Danio rerio: one gene and its partners. The protein of the gene in region 2 binds, or shares a complex with, the protein of the main gene of each other region. Links are inferred from orthologs where the notes say so. Each region holds a gene or a part of one and is shown on either strand. Other genes may lie near its edges.

Evidence for each region.
Region 1: smarcd1 (region 2) and dpf1 share a complex: the UniProt entries of both Homo sapiens proteins name them as parts of the neuron-specific chromatin remodeling complex. The link is inferred for Danio rerio from reciprocal best matches to the Homo sapiens genes SMARCD1 and DPF1.
Region 3: smarcd1 (region 2) and arid1b share a complex: the UniProt entries of both Homo sapiens proteins name them as parts of the neuron-specific chromatin remodeling complex. The link is inferred for Danio rerio from reciprocal best matches to the Homo sapiens genes SMARCD1 and ARID1B.

What each region holds. Positions count from the first base shown.
Region 1 is NC_133190.1:16,350,376-16,354,032, forward strand, and holds part of dpf1 (zinc finger protein neuro-d4), read right to left. Parts: intron 1,501-3,657; coding exon 1,340-1,500; intron 1,245-1,339; coding exon 1,137-1,244; intron 1-1,136. UniProt on the Homo sapiens protein: May have an important role in developing neurons by participating in regulation of cell survival, possibly as a neurospecific transcription factor. Belongs to the neuron-specific chromatin remodeling complex (nBAF complex).
Region 2 is NC_133197.1:7,406,900-7,410,556, forward strand, and holds part of smarcd1 (SWI/SNF-related matrix-associated actin-dependent regulator of chromatin subfamily D member 1), read right to left. Parts: intron 3,561-3,657; exon of another isoform or gene 3,510-3,560; intron 3,269-3,509; coding exon 3,152-3,268; intron 3,028-3,151; coding exon 2,926-3,027; intron 2,773-2,925; coding exon 2,611-2,772; intron 1,418-2,610; coding exon 1,320-1,417; intron 1,240-1,319; coding exon 1,104-1,239; exon of another isoform or gene 1-1,103. UniProt on the Homo sapiens protein: Involved in transcriptional activation and repression of select genes by chromatin remodeling (alteration of DNA-nucleosome topology).
Region 3 is NC_133195.1:5,200,550-5,204,306, reverse strand, and holds the start of arid1b (AT-rich interactive domain-containing protein 1B), read left to right. Parts: upstream 1-1,019; 5' UTR 1,020-1,490; coding exon 1,491-2,504; intron 2,505-3,757. UniProt on the Homo sapiens protein: Involved in transcriptional activation and repression of select genes by chromatin remodeling (alteration of DNA-nucleosome topology).

The DNA of each region.
Region 1 (3,657 bases), on a different chromosome or scaffold from region 2:
TATGTGGTTGCAAGGTGTTGCTAGGCAGTTGCTAGGATTTTCTGAGTGGTTGCTAGGGTGTCCTGAGTGGTTGCTAGGCAGTTGCTAAGGAGTTGCTAGGGTGTTCTGAGTGGTGGCAAAGGCTTTGCTAGGCGGTTGCTAGGATACTCCAGGTCATTGCTAAGGTGTTGCTAGGTGGTTGTTAGGGTGTTCTAAGTGGTTGCTAAGGTGTTGATATGTAGTTGCTAAGGTGCTCTGAGTGATTGCTATGCAGTTTCTAAGTCATTGCTAGGGTGTTCTGATTAATTGCTAGGCGGTTGCTAAGATGTTCTGAGTGGTTGCTAGGCAGTTGCTAAGGTGTTGCTAGGAAGTTGCTAGGGTGTTCTGAGTGGCTGCTAGGCAGTTGCTAACATAAATTAGCATGATTCTAATTTGAATTAGCATAGTTCTAGCATGGATTAGTATATTGCTATTATGAATTTGTATGTCTTTAGTATGTTCAATGTAAAGTCAATGGCAATTTTTTTACAATGTAAGTCTATGGAACAGTTGCTAGGGTACTGTAAGTGGTTGCTAGGGTGTGGCTACTAAGTTAAAATATATCATTGATTGGCAGATTAGTAGTCTGAGTTAAATGAGCCCAAACTTAATTCTGTATGACAGTCTGGAGCAGAGTTATGAGGTCACATAGTTTGGTCTAATGTTAAGTCAATGGGACTTTTCCGAAACTTCCGGGTCATTTTTTCTGACAAGTTGGAAAAGATATAGCAACCCGAGTCAGAGCAGTTTGGAGGTTTGCAGTTAGTTTGGTCTTTGTAACTTGAATGGTTTAGGAGGAGATGCATATAGAAACTAGTCTCAGAAAAAGATGGAAAGAGAATAATAAGTTTATGTAGTATAACAGTGTGTTGCCTTTTGTTATCGTTCAACACAGAATAATGAATTATTAAAATATCTTTAGGCTTGTTAACATTAGTTAATGCACTGTGAGCTAACTAACAATGTAGGACTTTATTTTCATTAACTGTTAACAAAGATTCATTTCTTACTGCATTTCTGTAACCGTTTTAATTTTTATACATTTTTTATTAGGATGATATGTGGAAAAATACGATTGTCATACTTACAAAAACATCAAACATTTAGTTTAATTTTACCGATTTTAAACTCGATGGGTCCAAGACGTGGATCCTCTAAGATGTTCAACCGTCTCTTCTTCCTCCAGCACCGTGCAGGATAGGTATAGAGCTGCCCTGGAGCCACACCTGGGTCAAACAGATGCAGAGTGGCCACATAAACACCCAAAACCCAAAACTTATGTTAAAGTCACCTGTGTAGTAGGATACACACAGACACACACCTGGCCCACGGTGAGTCTTCTCCATCCATATGTAGCAGTTACTCTGTGCTACACCTGTCTGGGAGTCGAGGAAGGGCAGGCGCATGGAGCGTTCGGCACAAAGTCGAGCATTATAACTGCGGCAGTGCTCAATCGCCTCACGATAAAACTCCTCACCAAGGCTGGAAACATTTCAAAAACAATCTAAGTTTAATACAGGTTATTTTTTTTCCTCTCATGTACGAGATTGTGGCCTGTTTCATTTTATTTTCTCTAAACAATGAAATAATGACTATGAAAATCAGTTAGCCACGACTAAAGATGCAAACTAACAAGTCATTCAGTATACCAATAGTTTATTTACCAAAAATCTTGTCACAAAATGAAACATTTCACGACATATTAAAGGCTCTAATTAAACAAAGTTCACCCAAACATGTAAATTTACTTACCCTCAAGTGGTTCCAAACCTTTGTGAGAGTCTTTATTGTTTTAAACACTGGTGAAGATATTTTGAAAAATGTTTGAAACCATTAACCAACAACCATTGACTTCTATAGTTGGAAAAACAAATACTATGGAAGTCAATGGTTACAGGTTTCCAGCTTTCTTCAAAATATCTTCTTTTATGCTGAACAGAAAAAAATATATAAACTCTTTAAGATTTGAAGCAATAATGGGGTAAATAATGGAGTAAATGATGACCAAATTCTCAATTTTGGGTGAACTAACCCTTTAAGCATGACAAAAATACCAAAATACTAATTCACTGCCATTTCAAATCCTTGTACTTTCTCAAATTCTTCAAACCAGTAGGTTTCACCTATGTGTCAAGAATGAGGCTTTAAAAAATTTAAAGCAGATATGACAGATTTGAATAACTTTGAATGACATCTCACCATGGATTTTTAATTAGGTTTAGTTCAGGACTCTAGGCTGTCCTTTCATTTTGTCAGTATTTTTAAAAAGCCATTTGAACTGGAAGTTGCTAAGACTTTGATTACTTATATTAACAAAGATTAATTTATTACTTAAATTCTTTGTCTTTTTTATACATTTGTTTTATGACGATGAGGTTTTAAATAATTTAAAGCAGATATGACAGATTTAAATAGCTTTAAATGACCTTAACATCCTATTAAGGACTTTCAATCAAGTGTAAATCAGGACTCTAGGCTGTCCTTTCATATTGTCAATATTTTTATTTAAAACCTATGTGAACTGGAAGTTGCTGACACTTTTATTACCAATGTTAACAAAGATTCATTTATTACGGCATTACTGTAACCTTTTCTTTTTTATACATTTGTTTTATTAGGATGTTACATGAGAAAATATGATCGTCATTCCCACAAAAATAACAATGAGGTTTTAAATAATTTAAAGCAAAAATGACAGATTTGAATTGCTTTGAATGACTTCAGGGGCAGCATGGTGGTGCAGTGGGTAGCACAATCGCCTTAATAGCTTGAAAATCCATGTGAACTGGAAGTTGTTGAGACTTTTATTACCAATGTTAATAAAGATTTATTTACCCCTGTATTACTGTTCATGTACTTTCAACTAAAACGGAATATTGAGTAGGGGGTGGGGCTTTCAGTGCATCATTCCCTCATAGCAAATTAACAGTAAGAGGGGCGTGGTTAAGAATATTGTGGCTGAAGCTGTCAAACTGACTTCATCAGAGAAAGACCATCACTCCAAACAAAGAAGCAAAAGGAAGATTACCAAAACTAACTTTTCCTTTTCAACTTTAACTTTCTATAGATTAATTCATCACCTAAAGAATAAAACTTTAAGGAACTGCTTTACTTGTTTTGCTGTGTCATGAGGTTAATTGTCCTGCATAAAATTGCTAGCTAGTTGGCAGGGAAGGAACTGAATGTTGCCTCTGATTAACGCTTTTATTTATTCCGTCATATACAGTGAATCCGGGAAGTATTCAAAGCACTTTTTTATATTTTGTATGTTAAGACTTTTTATGTCACAACCTTATTCCAAAATGGAAAAATTCTACACACAATACCCCATAATGACAATGTGAAAAAAAAATTTTTAAATTGTTGCAAATTTATTAAAAATAAAAAACCTGAAAAATCACATGAACAGAAGTATTCACAGCCTTTGCCGTGAAGCTCTTAATTGAGCTCAAGTACATTCTGTTTCCACTGTTTCCACACTTGAGATGTTTCAGCAGCTTAATTGGAGTTCACCTGTGGTAAATTCAGTTGACTGAACATGATTTGAAAAGGCATACACCTGTCTATATAAGGTCCCAGGGTTGACAGTGCATGTCAAAGCACAAACCAAGCATGAAGACAAAGGAATTGTCTGTAGAC
Region 2 (3,657 bases):
GTTTCACCTAGCGTCTCTGAACATATCTCCGTCCACACTACGCCACCAAAAACGTATATCACGTGACCATTCGCGCACTCTGGGTATGCGAGTTCTAGTATAAACAGAAAGCATGCGTCTCGCTCGGCATTTGGTTATTGTTAGTCAACAAACGCCGGTTGTACATTAAACGCGTCGGGCAAAGAAAGCAAGAGAGGTATTTTTGTGGACAGACGACGAGGTCGAGTTGTTACCGAACGTAACAAATGAATAACTGCACAGTGGCGCCTAAAACAGACAATAGTGCAAACAACGCTCCCATTTCTGTGTCCATGTTGTTGTTTTCAGTACTAACTTCCAGTAGCATTAAAGCCATGTGTTATAGTCATGTGATAGAAACTTGACGAAGGAGGGAAGGATACGCAATGACACAAAAGCCTCAATCAGGTAGCGAATCTCAGCAGCCCCGCCTCCGTTTTCAGATGTCTCCGTTTTTCCTCATCCACACTGAAATGGAGCAGCAGCTTTTTAGAATGAAAACGGCCTCTCCAGCGTTTTCAAAACGCTCAGTTTTCGGCGCTCGAGAACTCCGGCGTAGTGTGGATGGATGGCTTAACCGTAGCAAAACTTATGCGTTTTAAAACTAAAATGCATTACTGTAAACGGGGCCTTAATGGCAAGCTGTCCAATGACAGCAGAGTTGTCTTATTTAAGAAAGGGGTTTACAGCCTAAATTTTCAAACAAACATCAAAATCATTGTAAAATGATTCTTATAATTGGCATATTCTGAGAAAATTACAATATTTTCTCAACTTAAATGCATTTAAACCTGCTGTAAGGGACTCAAACACAATATTAGGACACTTTAAAAAACAATGACAAAACATGATGGAAAGCAGAACCCTTTCTCCTGCACCACACCTCTTGTATATACAAAACAAATCTGCTCAAACATTCAGACCACTGCCAAGAGTCACTTTGATATGCAGCAGACCAAGCCACAAAACAAAAGAGCAGAAAAAAGTAACGCTTTCCCCCTGTGACGGCTCGCCAAACACTTTGAGGACTGTTTATTCAGCCAGAACAAAGACATAACTTTCCGAACATGGTGAAACTTTCGAACCTTGTTGTCGAGGCCTGCAATCTCCTGCTGACTGGCCGTGGAAAGCAGGAAAGAGTTCATCTGGGTCTTCAGGGTGTCGTCCACTTCCACGTCAATATCATAGCATGCAGTCTTCTTCTGGTCATTGGGATCAACGCTAAGAAGTAAACAGCAGTTTAGATGACGTAGCAGATAAGGAAAGATAGTGATTCTGACTAACATGTTATCAGTGGGTACCTGATGACGTGGTTGATGATGATTGGTTCTGGAGGCATCAGTAGGGCATGCAGCCGCTGAGGGATCTCAGAGAACTTCATCCTCTGGGTTTCAAAAATCTACATTGAGAAAAACAAGTGTTAATAGGTTCAAATTACACACGAAGACACGAAACTACTGGATTTTAAAGATCTACATTTGGAAGAACAGACAATTATCAGGTCCATCTAGTATAAGGTATCTAGAAAGAACCACCTGTTGATTATTGGATTTATAACATCTGGAAAAAGAACTGACAATTACAGGGTTTGTTTCAAAGCATTAAAACCACATGGTATAAATTGTTAAACTTAAAAAATTAAAAAAAAATCAGAACAAGCAGAAATAAAACAACTTCTGGAATTGTAAGACTGACAATGAGAAGAACAATTACAAGGTTACAAAAATCCAGAAAAAACAGCCAGCTATTATTGTTTACAAGTTCTGAGGAATTTAAAAAAAAAAGTAAATTGAATTTAAAACCTTTAGAATAAGAAGAACTGACAATGGGTTTTGCAAATATTTAAATAATAATAATAATAATCAGAACCAACAATATTTACACTCAGTACGCTTACATGGACACCAATAATTCGATTTTAATGCGATTAAAAGTTAAAAGCGATTTTTGATTAATTTAATCCGATTAAGGTCTTAATTGAACTAAAGAGAAATAGAATTAAGACGTGTGGAGTATGCCGATTTCAGTCGCATTATTGAAGTGCGGTACAGACATGTAAAAACCTTAATCAAACTATTACCGTCATGTAGGACTTCTCACCGGGTTTTGTGATAGGATAAAACAGTCCATAGACTAAGGCAAATAACTCGATTACTGATGTCCATGTAAACGTAGTCACTGAGAAGAACCAACCGCTGTCAAAAATCTAGAACTATCTATTATTGGTTGTACGATCTATAATAAGAATTAAAACTTAAAACGAAGATCTAAAATAAAATAAGTCAATTAATGGATTTCAAACATCTAGAATGAGAAGAATTGTAAAAGGAGTTTGTTTCAAAGACCTACACCAAGTAGAAGTGCCAATTATTAAATGAATTAAGTTGAACTATAGCCGTTCAGGATCAAATATTTTAAAGTTTAGTTTCACAGTAGTTTTTTTCTGATAATACTGAAATTTTTTACTAGTCTTTAATTATCAACTAAAGAAGTTTATAATTGTCAGACGTCACCACTTCTGTCTAAACGGGTATTTCCAGTTTAAGTCTTCATTCACTAGTTCCCATAAATAAAGTCCATGACATTCGTTACCTGCTGGAGGTATTTGTCACAGTTGATGAACTCTCGTTCATGAGGGTCCTGGAGTTTGTGGGTCTTCACATACTGCCACAAAGCCTGAATGATCACAGGCCGGGTCTGAGTGTGAATCCCCAGCAGCCGGGCCAGGCGGGGGTCCAGCTTATACTGAGGGGGCTAGAAAGAGAATGATTTCGTCCATCAGTCACATTTAATCTAAATAATATCCAGTTCAAGCATGTCTCAAGAAGAGGTGGCGCCATCTGCTGGTGATTTTTGAACAAAAATGCTAATAAACACACCATGTGCACAACTATAATTGAAGTTTACCTGGTAGTCCAGCATGAGCAGTACAGTACAGCGGACCCCAACATCCCCAGGCCTCTTGACCTGAAATCCATCTGTCTCCTGAGTTGTGGCTGTTCTGTGCCACTGTAATGAAGACAAAGATGTGAGAAATGGCACATAAGTGACAGCAGTGAGGATCTACTGGACAGCACAGCAATAAACTAAGTTTAAAGTACTATACTTGAGAAACACAATTTCTGATTCTCACCTCAACCAAATGATTGTCAGGTCCATACAAGTCTTTGTCCAACTCGATCACTAAAGACTTGAAAAAAGAAGAAAACTTCCTCTTCTGCTTGGTGGCTTCATACTTGGACACAGCGGTCTGTGATAAGAGAAAGAAATTGAGTTTATTGCCATATCAGCTTCTTTGGCTATGTCATGGCATTGGCATATGATTATAAAAATATTATAGCAATTAGAAGTCATCACCAGCAGTAAATAATACACAAGATAAAAATAAATGAACAACAATAATAATGATAATATACAAGATAAAAATCTAAAACAATTTATGGTTTCAGTCTGTGACAAAGAATTCAGTTTTACAAATAAAAATAGTGTACTTCTACAGAAACGATAAGGGGTTTGACCTAATGGGATAGCTCACCCAAAAATGAACAATTAATCATCATTTACTCGTTCAGAACAAGACATTTTGAAAAATGTTGGTGCCTGACAACCCTTAGCTTCCTTAGCATTATTTGTCTACTA
Region 3 (3,757 bases), on a different chromosome or scaffold from region 2:
CGGGATCGCCACAGCGGAATGAACCGCAAACTTATCCAGCACGTTTTACGCAGCGGATGCCCTTCCAGCCGCAACCCATCTCCAACACACTCACACACTACCGACAATTTAGTCTATCCAATTCACCTGTACCACATGTCTTTGGACTGTGGGGGAAACCCACACGAAGGCAGGGAGAACATGCAAACTCCACACAGAAATGCCAACTGAGCCGAGGTTCGACCCAGCGACCTTCTTGCTGTGAGGCGACAGAACTACCTACTGTGCCACTGCCTCGCCATGAAGAATATATATATATATATATATATATATATATATATATATATATATATATATATATATATATATATATATATATATATATATATATATATATATATATTACTTTTTATATGGTATGCAAAAAATTGTATCCACAAACAAAATTTCGGAAATCCTTTACCTCATTTGCCAATTGTTAATTGAAATTGATTTCTTGCTTAAAGCAAAAATTCTGCAAGTTAATAGAAACTTATGAAAATATCATGCTTCCAGTAAGTTAGTTTTTAATACTTTCTGTGTTTTTTATTTACTTTTGTACTGTCCCCTTTCTTTATTTTATTCTCTTTTTTCTTTTCTTTATTTAATTTTTTCTCTTTCTATTACTTTCTGTTCTTATCACTTTGTATTTGTATGTACTTGTGTTCCAGTCTCCTACATATTACTTCCTGATTTATATTGTACATTTCTTCTTTTCTAAATAAAAGTTTATTTAAAAAAAAAAAAAGTTTTAATGAAAAAAAAAAAAAAAAAAAAAAAACAGACCTCCCTGAATAATTAGTTTTTCCACTTTATGGGGGGGGGGGTCCCTTTGGTCCAAACACTGGTCCAACAGTCACATGAACTCTCTTATGTTTAATAAAGATGAGATTGATTAAAATGTGATGTGAGGAAATCCAAAATTGTTAACCGGCCGCGCCGTGTTTTCCAGCAGACTCTGCGCAGAGAGCTGAAGGAGATGCTCGATAATGCCATGCTGGAGCAAAGGGGCTCCGGCAGGGGTCTTATACGCACATTTGTACACGCTCACATTTGCCTCTGTGGGAATGGGGAAGTTTGATATTAGAAATAAACTTTCCAGTTTGCGAAAATGCGTTGAAGTCTCCGCTCGCCTCAGAGCAGTACCAGTTAAACGCATATTGGTGTCATTTGTCTTCGTCTCAAACGCATCAGTAATTGTTTTCACAGCTCGTGCCCAGCACACATTCACCCACTGACAGGACAGCGGTGGCGAACGCTCCATCCTCAAATCGCAAGCCCACATATATATAGCTATACCGGCGTGAATGAGGAGAAAACTGTGCGATATGGGGCAGACGATGGCACAGCGCTACCCCAATGAATAATGTAGATGGGCATCAGCAGCGTGCGGCTATAGAGTCTGCGAAAACACAGACGCTGGGGGAAATAAACCTACAGACTTTAATGCTCGTTTAAACGCGACTTCGAGTATGGAAACGGGTCTGGTCGCGAATCATCAAGTGAAAAATGTTGGACGCGGAGATCCCCCTCCTTCGCCTCATCATCGCACACCTCCACAGCAACAGTCGCGAGCATTCCATCAGCAGCACCAGCAGCGAGCCGCGCACAACAACAACAACATCTCCATCACCATCCACAGCAGCAGCAACCGCGCAGATCCGCAGCATGGAGGAAAAGAAGACGCTCTGGAGGCGCAGGTCGATCGCCATCCGCGTTTGCTGAACACAGGCGACGAGGAGGATCGCTCGTCCAAAACCGGGGGGGATCGAATGGGCAGCAGGTACGAGCACTCCAACTTTGGACCAGCGAGCAACAATAACAACAACAACAACAGCGGCGGCGGAGGCAGCGCGTCCCAAAGCGGGAGCAGCTCAGTTTCTGAGTTTAATAATTATTACGGGAATGGAAGAGGAGGGCCTTGCTTTGATCAACATGGCGGACAACAAAGCCCTAGGACGGCTTTAATACATCAGGCACCGGGCAACATGGATCAAGTGCAGAACTCCCACGAAGGGTACCATAATAATCCGTACAACCACTATCCCAACTACCGGCCGGGGTACGGCGGCGCTGGATACGGTATGATGAGCCCGTCGCGGCAGGGGAACATGATGGGCCCAGGTACCAATTCGCCTACCGCTGCTGCTGCTAGCCATGGCAAGGCTGCTATGGCCTCGACCACCCCGGCTCCTGGTGCCAATGTTGGGAGCTTTCAGAGGTTTCCCGGACAAAACCAACAGCACCCTTCTGGAGCTACACCCACCCTGAACCAGCTCCTGACATCCCCGAGTCCGATGATGCGGGGATACGGTGGCGGCTATCAAGATTACAGCAACCCGCCATCGCAGCAGCAGCAGTCGGGTATGGGTTTGGGCAAAGACATGAGCTCCCCGTACAGCCCAGCTGCCAGCCACAGCTGGGCAGCACAACAAAGAAACCACCCGGCAATGAGCCCCGGGAACAACGGCAACAGCAGAGCCCAGGTGAACGCTTTAGCTTTCCTTATGTGTGTGTGTTCAAGTTTCGCATGCAGGTCTAGCTGTGGCCCGATGCTACCCTTAATATCAGCTTGGAATGTATTAGTTTACGTTCATTGAATGCACGTGACGTGCATGAACAGTTAAATAACATGCTGATGTTGATCAGGCTTTGTTATTTCCCAGTTTTGGGCTTGTCTGTGGCTTGACAGGCAGCAGAACATGCCAAGTTCTGCCCAAGGTGACTGTGCTAACAGTGTTAGCATGTGTTAGCCTGCACCGAGACTTCATATATGCTTAGAAAGATTCCTATTTCAGCAACCGGATATGCAGCGCGGCTTATGTTCGTATACACAGTAAAACAATGAAGCATAATCACTATTAAATCCGTGTCATGTTATTGAACACATGATCGGCTGCGATTCCGCTAAAGATCTCGATCGGTGCAGTTCAATGATGGAAGATTCTAGCATTGCGTTGCTACTAAGTAAAAAACCCACTGCTAACGCTTTTTATTCACTCGAATAAAGCGACTAATTGAGTTAACGATTCTTTCCATATAAAAATTCGTTTTCGTTTTTGACGTATGGTTACCGGTTAGCACTGTCTGTCTGAAACTAAGTGCTAGACGGCGTTTTCAGAGCACAGGGCTACTGATTAGCATTGCTAGCTTGTATTAGCGCCATTGCGCCCGTCTGGCTTCACTTCATTATGCAGTAATTAATGTTTTCACATTCACCTCACACTCACTTGCTGTTATTTCTTTAGGCTATCTGTACATGGTTTTATACACGAAAATCTTTTAATTTATAAGATATGATAAGGCGGGCTGGTGTATTTCAAAACCTAGGCAGCTCACTGGGTTTTGTGACAACATTAAACTAGTATTTGTCTAGGTAGGTGACTCACTAGACTTCAGCATACTGATGCCTAAAATGCTGTCTAGCTAGGCTGTGTATAATGTAAAAAAACAATAATATCCAAAATAGTATGAATATAATGTCTTAACATCCTAGTATTTTTGTTTTGAGTCAGATGTTAACAGTCTATAGGTAGCTTCAATAGTTTATCACCTTGGATTATACATTCAAGCTATTCAGGTTACTAGTTTTCATGTTCGATTTTAGTGATAAATTGACTTCGCTGCTTAATATGTTTTTATGCGTGTCTAGAGGAAAAGCTGATGAATCTATTGGAATAGTTTAGCATAAATTAATATTCATTCAGCTAAATGCTGTAGGCTGTTTCTTTGTCAAACA